Coturnix japonica: one gene and its partner. Each later gene encodes a partner of the first gene's protein in a complex. Links are inferred from orthologs where the notes say so. Each region holds a gene or a part of one and is shown in the gene's direction. Other genes may lie near its edges. The genes, in order: GINS4 and MCM3.

What was found.
Region 2: GINS4 (region 1) and MCM3 share a complex: the UniProt entries of both Homo sapiens proteins name them as parts of the CMG helicase complex. The link is inferred for Coturnix japonica from reciprocal best matches to the Homo sapiens genes GINS4 and MCM3.

What each region holds. Positions count from the first base shown.
Region 1 is NC_029537.1:3,956,063-3,962,940, forward strand, and holds the start of GINS4 (DNA replication complex GINS protein SLD5), read left to right. Parts: upstream 1-2,840; 5' UTR 2,841-2,884; coding exon 2,885-2,977; intron 2,978-3,167; coding exon 3,168-3,254; intron 3,255-3,424; coding exon 3,425-3,538; intron 3,539-3,991; coding exon 3,992-4,089; intron 4,090-4,749; coding exon 4,750-4,838; intron 4,839-5,082; coding exon 5,083-5,173; intron 5,174-5,257; coding exon 5,258-5,354; 3' UTR 5,355-5,361; intron 5,362-6,342; exon of another isoform or gene 6,343-6,878. Other genes in the region: GOLGA7 (golgin subfamily A member 7), read left to right, coding at 372-473, 900-947. UniProt on the Homo sapiens protein: Required for correct functioning of the GINS complex, a complex that plays an essential role in the initiation of DNA replication, and progression of DNA replication forks.
Region 2 is NC_029518.1:98,088,895-98,095,772, forward strand, and holds the start of MCM3 (DNA replication licensing factor MCM3), read left to right. Parts: upstream 1-3,143; 5' UTR 3,144-3,326; coding exon 3,327-3,407; intron 3,408-3,591; coding exon 3,592-3,704; intron 3,705-4,299; coding exon 4,300-4,508; intron 4,509-4,771; coding exon 4,772-4,902; intron 4,903-5,395; coding exon 5,396-5,634; intron 5,635-5,919; coding exon 5,920-6,028; intron 6,029-6,628; coding exon 6,629-6,782; intron 6,783-6,878. UniProt on the Homo sapiens protein: Acts as a component of the MCM2-7 complex (MCM complex) which is the replicative helicase essential for 'once per cell cycle' DNA replication initiation and elongation in eukaryotic cells.

The sequences.
Region 1 (6,878 bases):
AACAGTTTCTGTCTCTGGTGGGTATCGGTGCTCTCATGCTGGGTTCTCCTAATATTGTTATATCGGTGGTATTGCTGAGCTATGGCTCTAAGACGGGAAAACTTAATTAAGAAATCTAGTTTCATAAATCACAGAATCACAGAATGACCTGGGTTGGAAAGGACCTCAAGGATCATGTAGTTCCAACCCCCCTGCCTAGCAGGGCCACCAAACATACGCCTTTACTAGATCAGGTTGCCCAGGGCCCTGTCCAACCTGGTCATGAACACCTCCAAGGATGGGGCATCCACAGCCTCCCTGGGCAGCCTGTTCCAGGGCCTAACCACTCTCCTAGTGAATAAACTGTGACTTCCCTGCTGTTCTATTATCAGGTTCTAAAGAAAATTGCCAAGTTCATTCAGGAACAGAACGAGAAGATCTATGCTCCTCAGGGCCTCCTTCTGACCGATCCCATTGAAAGAGGACTAAGAGTTGTATCCTTGTGTGGTTTCTAAGATTATTTCTTAATTCTTTAATAATATGGTATCCTCTAGTCATGCTTGATCTGTGATACTGCGAAATACATGATCAGTCTTGTTACTCTCAGGTATGTGCTGTTCTTTGAGCAGATAAGTTTATTTCTGCCCTGTTGTGGAGCTTTTGCTGAGATTTAGGAGGAGATGGCAAGGTTCACAAGCTCTTTGTATGCAGCATCTTGTGTTCTTGTTGTCAGAACAATCCTGAGCTGCCATAGGTCGATCTGATCTGACAAGGCAGGTGAGCTGTTGTGTTTGTTTTGTAGCTCTTGAGTAAGCAGCTATGAAGCAGAAAGATCAAAAGTTCTAATATCATAATGATTTTTTCACTTTCATTTTTGTAAACTTCTTATAGTATATTTTCCTAACAGCCTTTCTACACAGATTGAAATTACCATTTATGAAGACAGAGGCATGAGCAGTGGAAGATAAAACTGTGGAGTCTCAGGTACATATCAGCATTACAGTAGATGCCAATCTCAGCTTCCTTTATGGTGCTCAGAGTGGTAGACTCTTCTGCTGAAACAGAATGTTTATCCAGCTACTGCATGTCATCAATGACTTTTTACTTAAGTCTTGTGTGGTGTAGGTTTTCTGAATGTGTGGTTAATTTCATGCTACTCTCAGTTCAAACAATAACAGATTTGACTTAAACAGTCAAGATTGGAATTTGGTAAAATATACATAAACTGAACTTGCACTGTATCAAGCCCAGAATGGCTTTCTGTATTTGAAGAGTCTTGATTTTTCACAAAGCTTTTCTGGCATAAGTCTCTACCCTTTCTGAGAAGTAATACTTCCTAATTGATGGTGCTTTACTGTTCTTCCTATTATGCTGTGAAAGATGCAGCTTTTCTTGAATGTTTTTAGAGGTACCTAAAAGCTTTTGTGTTTAAAGCATCTATGAAAAGGTCATAACCCATGTTAAGAATCACCTTGTATTTTGCCTGGCAATCAGTTCTAACATGTAACTTCTTTTCTAGCAGACAGCTCAACAGTGGACTTGCTGTATCAGTTCCCCTACCTCCTACTTTAGAGCATCATTCCTCTTTCTGCTGCCAGATCCACAGTGCCATTTTCTACAGGGACTGACTTCCTAAAACTACTCCACGTGGTGTGACCCAGCTGGTCAGCATTCATTTTGTGGCGAATTATTGAGCCTTGAGATCACTTTTAAGTTCCTAAAGGAAACGCAGAAGTGGTGAAGCTGCATATTCTTCTGACAGAACCGCATTAACCCAACAGAAGTTGGCTCTAGTCATGTAAATGTGGTGCCGTTCCTCCCCACTTCTTAAATCTTTCTGATTGGGCTTTGGAAACCTACAAGTCAGAGTGGAATTTTCCAGAAGAAAGGCTTTCCCTCGAGGTCAGTATTGCAGTGAGGGGATACGCAGTGCCTCTTCCCAGTGCAAAATGACTCAAGGCAATGAGCGTTGGAAGCGTCCTGTACTGATTCTTATGGAAAAACTAGAAGGCAAAAAATGTTTCTCGTTTTAATGTTTTGGTTATTCCTAGAAGAGAGGGACTTTATTCCTGGTGTTTTTTCTACTGCTGTGTATGTGCTGTTGTATGTCAGTGCTGAGCAGAAGAGGGAGAGTCTATAAAACAGGAAGTACAATAAAATGGATGCTGAACCAATAAACATAACTCTTCCCCTTCTCTGATTAATACGTGAAGTGTAAAACTGTTTCTTTATGAATTTATTATAACTTATAGGAAAACACTGATTCGACAGAGCTGTTGTGTGGGATGGTCTCATCACTCTTTGCCTGCTGGCGCACTATTGAGCTGTGTGTTATTTCCTCTCTTTTTGCATTGACATTCCTCAGCAATACCTAAAGCACGTTCCTAGGAACCAGGTTTGGGTTCATTCTTTTCTCTTTGCTCTTCTCAAGGAAAAATATGTTCAGAATTGAGCCATGATCCAATTATAGAAGGAATTCAAGAGCTTAGGAATAATATAGGAGAGATGGAGTGTTTTGGCTTTTGGTGGTGCTGTAGGTGCTACTGCGTCTGAAATTCCAGCCTTGTTCCTCAGCCAGTAACTTCTGTTTTGTGGGGTTTTTTGTTTTAATTTAATATTCTAACTGTATAAAACTTGTTTTCTAAGCTGTGGTTGCCTTTCATGTTTGTTGCGATACTGGCAGAAGTACTAATGGATCAGTAAATTTTTTCTTAAACCGTGTCTGTGGCCTGTTCAGTCGCGCTGTTTTGAGGTGTTTTGATGCTAAAAGCACATCCACAAGGCCTAGCAGGGCCGCACTGCTGCACCCCCTACGGCCGCCATTTTGTCATGGCTTGCGCCTGCGCTAGTGCAGAACATCCGGGTCGCGCTGTGCGCCTGCGCAGTGGAGCGGCGGCTTGTTGTAATGGCGGCGGCGGGCGGTGAGGAGCCGGACTCGGACGATGGCAGCGAGGAGCTGGTTCTTACCCCACTGCAGCTCATCCGCAGCCTGGAGCAGGTAGAGCGGGACAGGGATGAGCCCCGAGGGGACTTTTAGACCATCGGCAGCTGGAGCTGTCCGAGGAAGGAGCGGGGAGGATGACGGTCAGGCCTGTGGGCCCGCTGGGCGGGAAGGGGCGATGTGGGGACGGGGTCCCGGTGGTCGGTAGGAACTGTGTGGGCCTTTATCACATCGTGCTTCCTCCTAGGCCTGGATGAACGAGAAGTTTGCCCCCGAGCTGCTGGAGAGCAAACCGGAGATCATTGAGTGCGTGGTGGAGCAGCTGGACCACATGGTGTGTGCTATGGAGGGGGTGCTCTTCTGACTATTTACAATGCTTGTTTGCTGAGCATAGCGTTGGGAAATTCACTTTTTATTTCCCTTGTGAGCTAATCGGGCTTCTTGCTCTCTATTTTTATTGTTTGCTGTTTCAGCCTTTTCAGTTTTCTTTGCCTTTCTTTGCAGGAGGCAAACTTAAAACGGGCAAAGAAAGGAGACCTGAAGGTCAGCATCCACCGCATGGAGATTGAAAGGATCCGTTATGTGCTCAGTAGTTACTTGAGGTGTCGACTTGTGAAGGTAAATACTGTACAGAGCATAGGGAAGCTTTACTTCAGGAGTGATTCCTGTTTTATTATCTACTGCTTTAGCAAGGCACTTTGTTAAAGATCCCCTATCTCACTATCTACAGTGCAACCAAAAGGATTTCATCCCCTGGGCGTGCTTTTCTGTTGTGGAGAATCACAGTATTGCTGTGATGTTCTGTTATAATGGCACGTTTTTTTTTATCTAAGCCAAGGTGCATGATCCTCCTGGGTCCTGTCACATGCACCCATGCAGCTTTAAGACCCCATCTGACTGTATTGTTACTAAGTCAGAAGCAGGTAATTTGGGTAGGCTTGTGTTTACTGCATACACCTGTTCAGGAGAGGATCACTTGTAAGGGTAGTCTCTGGGGGATTTTAGGTACTGAACTACTGGAAAGTTGGGTTTTAATCTTTTTTTTTAATCTCATTTTTCTTCCAATGACAGATAGAGAAGTTTTTCCCACATGTGCTGGAGAAGGAGAAATCTCGAGCCAGAGGGGAGCCTTCCATTCTATCACCAGAGGAGTTTGCCTTTGCTAAGGAGTGAGTGGGCTTTCAGTGCATCTCCCTCCCTTTGCATGGGGTACAGAACTGAACAGCTCTTAAGCGTTAGACAAAGTTGCAGTAAGATTCAGGTGTTCAACGTTCCTTATGGACATGGAGGGGAGTGTAAAGGTGGTAACAGAGGATGGTTTAAAGGTGGCTAATATAAAGATATTGACCAAGATGGTGATAAATAGTCAAAGGTTATTAGTAAAGAAAACTCACCAATGTCGATGCCTGGACCAGATAGCTGAGGCAGACTCCACTGGGGAGCAATCTCCAAGAGATGCTGCCTCAGAGGTGGTCAGCCCTTAAATGAGGTCTCAGAGGGGGTGGAGTCGAAGTCCACCCCTTCCAGGAGCACAGCTCCATTACTCTCACCTGTGCTCCCGCAGCTGACCCAACACTTGCCTCAGCTAATTAATCAGTGGTTCAAGCTGTGATTTCCCATACAAGAGAGCTAAAATGAAACAGTTCTTGTGAGTCTGTGGTATACTTAGCATCTGAGCCAGTTATTTCTGTGGGTTGTTTGTAACTGGATGACCAGGAGGTGTCACCTGTTGGCACTTTTGAGCAAATGCTCTCCAGGCAAATTTGTGTTTGACTTAATCAGTAAATGCTCCAATGTTGGGGGGGTTTGGTGTTTTTTTTTCCCTTCAGGTACATGGCAAACACCGAGACTTATCTGAAGAATGTGGCCCTAAAGCACATGCCACCCAATCTGCAGAAAGTGGCTCTCTTAAAATCAGGTGAGTACAGACAGACTACAGGCAGTCTGGAAAATTATTGCAAATGAGGTATGGAGAAAGCTCTGAGCTCACGCTAGCCACCTCCATCTGCTTTTTTCTTAAGCTGGGGCAATGCAGACTACCTCTGTTATTCCCTTTGTTGGCAATGCATTTGTTGCCCCTAGTACTCCTTTCTTCACTGAGCATTCTGCAGAGGAACATGAGTGAGTGCTGAGTCTGTACTCCAAATCTGTTGTATCTGCAGTCCCGAAACCCAACCTGGACTCTTTTGTGTTCTTGAGAGTGCTGAAGAGACAGGAGAACATCCTGGTTGAGCCAGAGACTGATGAGCAGAGGTAGGTGGTCCTTCCACACCCAGTGCATTTGAACAAGACTTGTTTCCCAGAAGCAGCTTAACACCCTGCACCTGCCTCTTTCAGAGAGTACACCATTGATCTGGAGGAGGGCTCACAGCACCTGATCCGCTACAAGACCATTGCCCCACTGGTGGCCTCAGGAGCAGTGCAGCTCATCTGAACAAGTGGTGAGCACTGAGGTGGGGCTGTGCTGCCTCCTGGGTATGGCCCAGGCCCAGCTGGAAGGTGGCAATGAAGGAGTCTGGGCTGGGTGCCCCACAGGGTGTGGCTTGGAGAGGACTGGCTAAGGGTAGCAGCAGGGCTGGGAGGTGCATCTCTGAAGGCATTCAAAGCATTCAAGTAAGCCAACAAGACATCTTTCCCTCTGCATTTGCAAGGGGCTTATTCCCCTCCTTCCCCCCCACATAAACAAGCTCTTGCTTGCTTATGACACACATTTGGAATTCAGCCAGGCTCTTTTCTCCCACTGTTGCAGAGTGAGGGCAGTCTGTGTCATAGCACTCACTCACAGGGCTTTGGCTGAGCCCTTCCATAGTCTCTTTGGAATCCCAAGGGATGGATGAGCATAGGCAGCATTTCACGATATCTCAGAGTGGTTTGACAGCAGACACGTACAGAGCACATATATCTTCAGAGGTGAATAATGCCTTTGTAAATGCAAGGGTGCACTTTTTTAAGGTGCACCTTACATGTATGTGTTCATTCTTGCCCCAGTTTAGCACTGTAAGATTAGGCTATAAGGTGAAAATTGGCTGATGGAACAGTGTGGTAACTTGTTGGGTAAACTCCACCTTTCCCCATCAGCTTTGATCTCATCACAGCCTGTGCAACTTTGGGTGTTGTGCAAGTGCCCAATTGCTCTGAGCTGAACTGGAGGGATACTTCTGCACCACCTTTGCCACATGATCCATTGAGCAAAAACACACATGAAGGCATTTGCTGGCAGAGCAAATCTTGATTATCACACAAGGAGCAGGAAGGATTGGGAGCAAATTAAGGATGGAAACTACAACTCAGAACAAAGAGAATGTCGTAAGCAAGCAGGGGAGAGCCCTAGGATCATGTGAGAGATGCTTAACTCCAGCTTGTTAGCAGCAGCAGGAAGGGAGGTTGGAGAGTTTACCAAGTTTATCTCTGTCTTTCTCAAGGTATTGCCTGGAAAATGGCCATGAGCTTAGGAATTCAGATTGTCTGCTCTGAAGGATAGTTACACAGGCCAAACAGCAAGTCTCTTTTTCCTTGGAATGTCCCAAGGCAGAATTTACCTTGCAGATGGAATAAACTTTGTTCTGCCTGTGCAGTGTCTTTCCCAGTGTGGACACAGTTGTCCACAGCACCTTCTGACTTATCTAGAGAGAAGTTACAATGATGTTTTCTTTTTTTTTTCTGGTGTTCTGGCATTAGTAGCACTGTCCTCATAAAATTATATCTCAGATTTACCTGCAGTGTAGGGCTGGATTTGGAATTGCTTTCCTTTGTGCTGATAGTGGCTTTTCTTGCATGGTCCAAAGAGTGGGTGCCTACAGGAGCCTTGGGCATCTGTGTTTTCCCTGATCAGGCTGTGATTTGTACAGTTGTGGTGGAAGCTTTGGAAATGTCAAACAGCATTTTTAATTTTGTCACAATCCTTCTTAACTGAACAACCGATTCACACTTAGTAGGTCTTGAAAATGCCCATGTACAA
Region 2 (6,878 bases), on another chromosome or scaffold:
GCAGCAGGCAGAGCATGCAGCTGTGTGCCAGCCCTGGAGCTGTGAGCTGCTGTCCTCCATGCACTGCAAGTCCATATCCCCAGCCTCTGAGGTGAGCAGAGCTGCACGCAAAGCTCCTAGAGTAGATGGCCAATCCCCCCCTGCAAATATGGGATGCTGAGGATTTGCTGGGGGGAAGATTAAAGCACATACGCCTGAAGGACACGAGGTACGGCCACCAGCTTGCAAATCTCTTACGCAGACCCATAAATTACAGCTTCCAGGACAACACGCTCTTTCTGTGCTTTGGGTTTGCTGCTCAGCCTTTCGTGCATGGAATGACACAACGGCTTCAGGCACAGCTTCAATGTAAATACATACAATCAGCAATCCCACAAGCCAGGGGCCGTTAAACAACACCTTGGTGGGAGGAAGTGTGCAAAGGCGGTTGGGCTCAGCAGGGCCGTGCTTCTAGGAACTGTTTGTGCTACATTGCACCCCTCGGAGCTGAGCTGAGCTGAGCGGTGCACTTGGCAGCTCGCCGTCCCCTCCCTGCCCCAGCAGCGAGCACAAACAGCCCCGCAGCCCGCATTCCTCTCCCGCAGGGCATCCAAATGTCCTTTCTCATGACCTTTCCATGACTGCAGCATCACAGTCACCCACGTCCCCATCCTCAGCCCTTCAGGTTGCAGTGATCTCTCAGTTAAGTGCCCCTCCAGCATGGAAGGGAACGTTATAGAATGGCTTGAGTTAAAGGGACCCTTCAAGGCCACTGTCTGCACTGAGCAGGGACACCCACAGCTCCATCAGTGCTCAGATCCCATCCAGCCTGACCCTGGCTGTCTGCAGGGATGAGGCACCACCACCTCTCTGTGCAACCTGTGCCAGTGCCTCACCATCCTTATTATTGACAGCTTCTTCCTTATATCTTCACCTCAACTGATCCCAGCACAATGCTGCAAAACCCTCCAGGAAGGTGCATGGGTACCAAAAGCAGTGCTGGGGCTCATGAGGACAAAATGCAGGGCTCCCAGAGTTCCCCAAATGACGGAGGAGACAGACAAACACTTATGCTGACACCAGGACATCAGAAACTGAAAAACCACTTGGACATAGCCCGGATTGCACAAAGAGAGACTGCACCCTTGAGCAGAGCTAAGGGAAGAGCCCATCCAGCCTGACCTTGGCTGCCTGCAGGGACGGAGCACCACCACCTCACTGTGCAACCTGCACTTCGCTTCTCTCCTTTCCCATCTCCAACCATCCCACAGCACCCACCAACCGAGCTACACCTCCACCCTACAGCGCACAATAAAACCACCTGCAGCCTCCATGCAAAGCGAGATGCTCACGTAGGAAAAACCCAACACCCACCCACAGCAAACAGCCCCAGGGGAGCAAAACCCCCAAACCATCACCATGGACACACAAACTGAACCCGGAGCGGTTCTCCTCGCTGTCCCCTCTCCCTGTCCCCGCAGCCGCCCGCACTCACCGCACCGCACCGCCGTGTCCCGCAGCCACCGCCTCCAGGCACCGAGCGCATGCGCTCAGCCCCGCCCCGGGCTGCCCCACCGGCCGGATCTCGGGTTGATCAGCGGCTGTTCCGTCTCCTTCTGGTCTTACAAATGCTTTGCAACCGAAGCTTTGTGGGCATCGCTTTGTTTGCTCGCCCCCTGACCTGCTACGTGCCTCCCCAGATGCTCTGATCTGTTAAGCTCGGGGTACTTTACACCCTGAAATGAATCACCCGCTTTATTCCCTCCCAGGTGTGGTTGTGTTTGCTCCGGAGATTGATCCCAACAGGTTCCGACTCAGCTGGGCAGGGTTGGGCTCTCCCTGCCTGTCCCCCACCCCAAAAACAGGGGTAAAATGGATGAGAATTGCCTATTATAGGGGTAGGGGGGATGTGTTGGAAGGGCCCCTTTAAGGCCATCAGTCCCACTGCACAGGGACACCCACAGCTCCAGCAGTGCTCACAGCCCATCCAGCCTGACCTTGGCTGTGTGCAGGGATGGGGCACCACCCCTGGGCTGCTGGTTGGTGACCCTACACACAGCATTGGGTTAAAACCAGATGGTGATTGTGGTCCTTTCCAACCCAGGCCATCGTATGGCTGGGTCCTGTGACTGAGGGGTCACTCATGGTAAGTGGGATCCCATCCCTAATGGGTGCAGATCAGCAGTGCTTTGTATGCAGATGGGTGATAGCCAGGCTCGTAGCAGGGGAGAAAACCAGGAATAAAAGGAGCCAGCTGTCACTGCCTTTAGTAACAACCAGAATTCACGATAACAGATGAGCAGACAGAAATAGCAACGCGAAACCTCCAGCCATCTATATTTGGGCTATTCAGACCTCCTTGGAAACACAGTATTATTCATTGCTTTATTTTGCTTTCGCATGACAGGAGAAGGGAGCGACTCAGCATCATGTTGGCACTGGGGGAGCTGAGCATCGGGTGCAGGACCATAGGAAGACACTGCAGCCCTTGCTCTACATGCATTCAGGTGCCTGATTCCTGTTTAATGTTACCCCTGTAAGGTCCCCATAGGAAGAGCTGCCTCCATCCTCGGCCTTCCCCGACCTGTAGCAATGAATTATTCACTCGGCGTTCTCCGTGCCGAGGCTGTTGCTATAGGGCAGGCTCATGAATAACAACAGGCGCTTATTTTTAGCCCTAACTCGTTACCGTGCTGCTGCCCTTGGTTCACAGCCATACCTTCAGCGGGACGAACCCCGCAACGCCGCTATGGGCTGGGGCTCCCTTTGGATTTACACACAGCACTTCCTTCCCAGTTTATGGGATGGCATATATGGCCACCTACGTTCTCCTTGCTAAGATCCCCTTAGAAAAGACATCCGTTACCCCATAGGGAGTCTCCGCTTTGCTATCTGCAGCTACAAGGTGGGGGGGGGGAGGGCAGGGGAGATGCTTGAACCTGGAACGGGGTGTTACCCCAGTGATAATAAGGAATCAGCAATAAATACACTAATTTAGATCCTCATCCCGCTGCTGACACCCAAAGCTCAGCCGGGACCCCAGACCCCAAACGCCCCATTCCCGCCCCCGCCCCGCCTCCTCCGCTCCCATTGGCTGCCGCTGCTGCGCGTCAACTCCCGCCACTTCCCCTTTGCCTCCCATTGGCTGACGCCCGGCGGCGCCGCCCAATGAGGAGCGGAACTCCCCCCGCCGTGGCGGGAAAGCGCTCGGTTTTGGCGCCAAAGAGAAGCGTGGAGGTTGCTGTGATCCGGGCCGGCGTTTGGGGTCTGCTGGGGATCTATAGGATCTATAGGACCCTTTAAAGAGCAACCCGGTCCTTACCTGTTTACTACCCCCTCCCTGCAGCATGGCAGCCCCAGCGGACGGGCTGGACGATGCGGAGCTGCGGGAAGCGCAGCGCGATTACCTGGATTTCCTGGACGATGAGGTGAGCAGCGGCGTGTATTGCGGGATGCAGCCTCCCCTTATAACCGGGGGTGGTCATCGCTTCCCCCCCAAACCCCCCAACAGGAGCCATGGCGCTGGGGCTGCTTATTCCCCAGGGAATAAATGGAAATGGCTTTACACGGCTCATGTGAAACTGAGGGTTGTGTTGTTACCTATGTGTGCAGGAAGATCAAGGAGTTTACCACGGCAAAGTGCGCGACATGATCAGCGACAACCAGTACCGCCTCCTGGTCAACATCAACGACCTGCGGAGGAGGAACGAGAAAAGAGCCAGCCGGTACGGGGGGGGGGGGGGGGGGGTGCTGTTGTGCCAGCCAGCCAGCCCTTACGAGCTTGCAGCCCATTGATAGAGCAAATCCTGTTTGTTTGAATCCTTACAGTAAAATTCGGGTGTTTGCATGGTGTGAGGCGTCTCAGCTTTAGGGTTCTGGGGTCTTTTTGCAAGAGACTTGCAAATGGTTTAAGTACAAGTTGAGATGTGACAGCTGCGAGTTGGAGGTCTGGGTTGGATATTAGGAACAATCTCTTGTCATGAGGAGCAGTGATGCAGTGGCACAGCTGCCCAGGGAGGTGGTTATGGAGCACCCCCATGGATGGTGACCCCACCATGGGGATGTGGCACTGAAGGACACAGTGGGCACAGGGGGGTTGGGCTGGGTGACTGTAGAGGTATTTCCAACCTTAATGATCCCCTGTTAGGTGTTTCAGATGTAATTGGGTTTGTTCACCTTCAGGCTCTTGGTCTCCATGAGCTGTGGGATTCTCAGTGTTCTTTCAGAGCACACCGAGGCATCTGGAAGGGATTTCTTAGAGCTGCCAAACAGGGTTGCCAACAAGATGCAGCTCTCAGCCATCACCTCCCTCTGTTGCAGGCTTTTGAGCAATGCCTTTGAGGAGCTCATCGCCTTCCAGCGTGCTCTGAAGGACTTTGTTGCCTCTGTTGATGCCACCTATGCCAAGCAGTATGAGGACTTCTACATTGGGCTGGAGGGCAGCTTTGGTTCCAAGCACGTCTCACCACGGACGCTGACCGCCTGCTTCCTGAGCTGCATTGTTTGTGTGGAGGGCATCGTGACAAAGTGTGAGCCTGGGGGCAGGTTGGGATGCTGGGTGGTGTGAGGAGCAGAGGGTCGGGGTGTTTGGTACAGCAGGAGTCCTCCAGAACCAATGGGAGGACAAGTGGAGTGATGGTAACAGTGGACTTGAATGTTGGGAGCTGCAGTCCTTGGCACTCTGGTTATCAGCACTTTTGTCCTGTGCATATAGTGGATATCTTTTTGGGGTTTCATGGTGACAAACAAGTGGGACTTTTCTGCCCCTAACTCTTCTTTCTTCCAAACCCAGGCTCTCTGATTCGTCCCAAGGTTGTCCGGAGCGTCCATTATTGCCCAGCTACCAAGAAGACCATTGAGCGCCGATACACAGACCTGACATCCCTGGATGCTTTCCCTTCCAGCTCTGTTTACCCTACAAAGGTGAGGTGAAGCGGCCTCATATGGGGAATATCTGCATGTTCCTCTGGGGAGAATATGCTGGCTCAGCAGGCAACATGATCAGCTGTTGGTTGGCATGCTTGTATGTGGCAAGGGGATTGAAACTAGATTGTCTTTAGGGTTTCTTCCAATGCAAACCATTCCAGCATCCCATGGTTGCTGTCTGGAGGGTATGTGGACCATTGTGTGCAGGGATTGCCCTGTGCTTGGGAATGGAGGAAGCTTGACCTAAGCTATGTCTGTTGAACGTGCATTCTTTTGCATGGCCTGCCTGCATTGGGAGCAGTGCTTGGAGGGTTCTAATGTGGCAGTGCTTGATGCTGGCAGCATTAGATCAGGGGGAGCTGTATTGCTGGTGAACTGCAGGATCTGGTAGTCCAGGTAAAGCAGCCCTTTGCAGTGCTCATGTGTGTGTTGGGTGATGCTCTCTTCCCAGTGCTGCTAATCTCTTTATTGCTGTGCCTTCTTCCTTAAGGATGAGGAGAATAACCCCCTGGAGACAGAGTTTGGCCTCTCAGTCTACAAGGACCATCAGACCATCTCCATCCAGGAGATGCCTGAGAAGGCACCAGCAGGGCAGCTGCCACGCTCGGTGGATGTCATTCTGGATGATGATCTGGTGGACAAAGTGAAGCCTGGAGATCGCATTCAAGTGGTTGGGACTTATCGTTGCCTGCCAGGAAAGAAAGGAGGTTACACATCAGGGACGTTCAGGTGAGCCTTCTGCTGGCTTCAAGGACAACATCAGCCTTGACACCCCTTTTTAGCAGGGTCCCATCCCTCTAAGATGAAACATAGGGCAGGTTGGATGGGGCTGTGAGCAACCTGGTCTCGAGGGAGGTGCCCCTGCATATAGCAGGAGGTTGAAACTGGGTGATCTTAAAGATCCCTTCCAACACAAACCATTCTATGGTTCTATGAAACTTCTGCTGTTGTTATGATGACCCTGAAAGCTCTATGAGCTTCACAAACATCATTGTAGCTGTGTCGCTATTCCAGGACTATCCTCATTGCCTGCCATATCAAGCAGATGAGCAAAGATTCTCGGCCTCTCTACTCTGCGACTGACGTGGCCAAGATCAAGAGGTTCAGTAAGAATCGCTCCAAGGTATTTATGTAGGTCTTATTTCTAAGCTCGCCTTCCATGATTTTCCTCTTGCTTTCCCTGCATTTTCTACGTAGCTTTTTGTCAATTTCTGTGATATATGTATGTATACATATGTATTACATGTAGCTGTAGCAGAGTTTCTGATGGCTCTGCTCTGTTGTGCGTAGCTGTTGAAATGGAGCTCTGTCTGGGCTGTGTGTGCCCTGACTGCTCGCTGGTTGTTAGAGAAGCTCCTCTGCAACGTTCTACTTTTCCTCCTCAAACCTAAGAACGGAATTAGATGACAGCCTGGATTTCTGAAAGGAAACAAAGCAAAATGCCAGTTCTTTTGGTTGGGGGAGGGAATGGGGGCCTGCCCCCCAGTCTGGTCCTGTGTTCAGATCTTTGTTCTTGTGGGGGTTGCTGCTTCCAGTGCTTGCGAGGTGGTCTAGGACTTCAGAGCCCCCATGGAAAGAATATTCCAACAGTATTCTCCCATCTAAATAACCTCTGTCAGTGTAGTTCTGTGATAGGAATAAGTTCCTTTTCTGGTGCTGTAATGGGCTTGTGAACTTGTTCTTCGGTCCACTTACAGGCTGTGCTTTGCCTCTTCTGCCTTAGGATATCTTTAACCAGCTGGCGAGGTCCCTGGCACCCAGCATCCACGGGCACGAGTTCATCAAGAAGGCCATTCTGTGCATGCTTCTTGGAGGGGTGGAGAAGGTCCTGGAGAATGGGAGCCGCATCCGAGGAGACATCAACATCTTGCTGATAGGTGTGGAGAGGCAGAGCAGAGGCAGCTGAGGCTGATGCTGTGGGAGTGAGATGAGGCTGTTCAAACAGAACTTCCCATGATCCATGTCACCTCTTC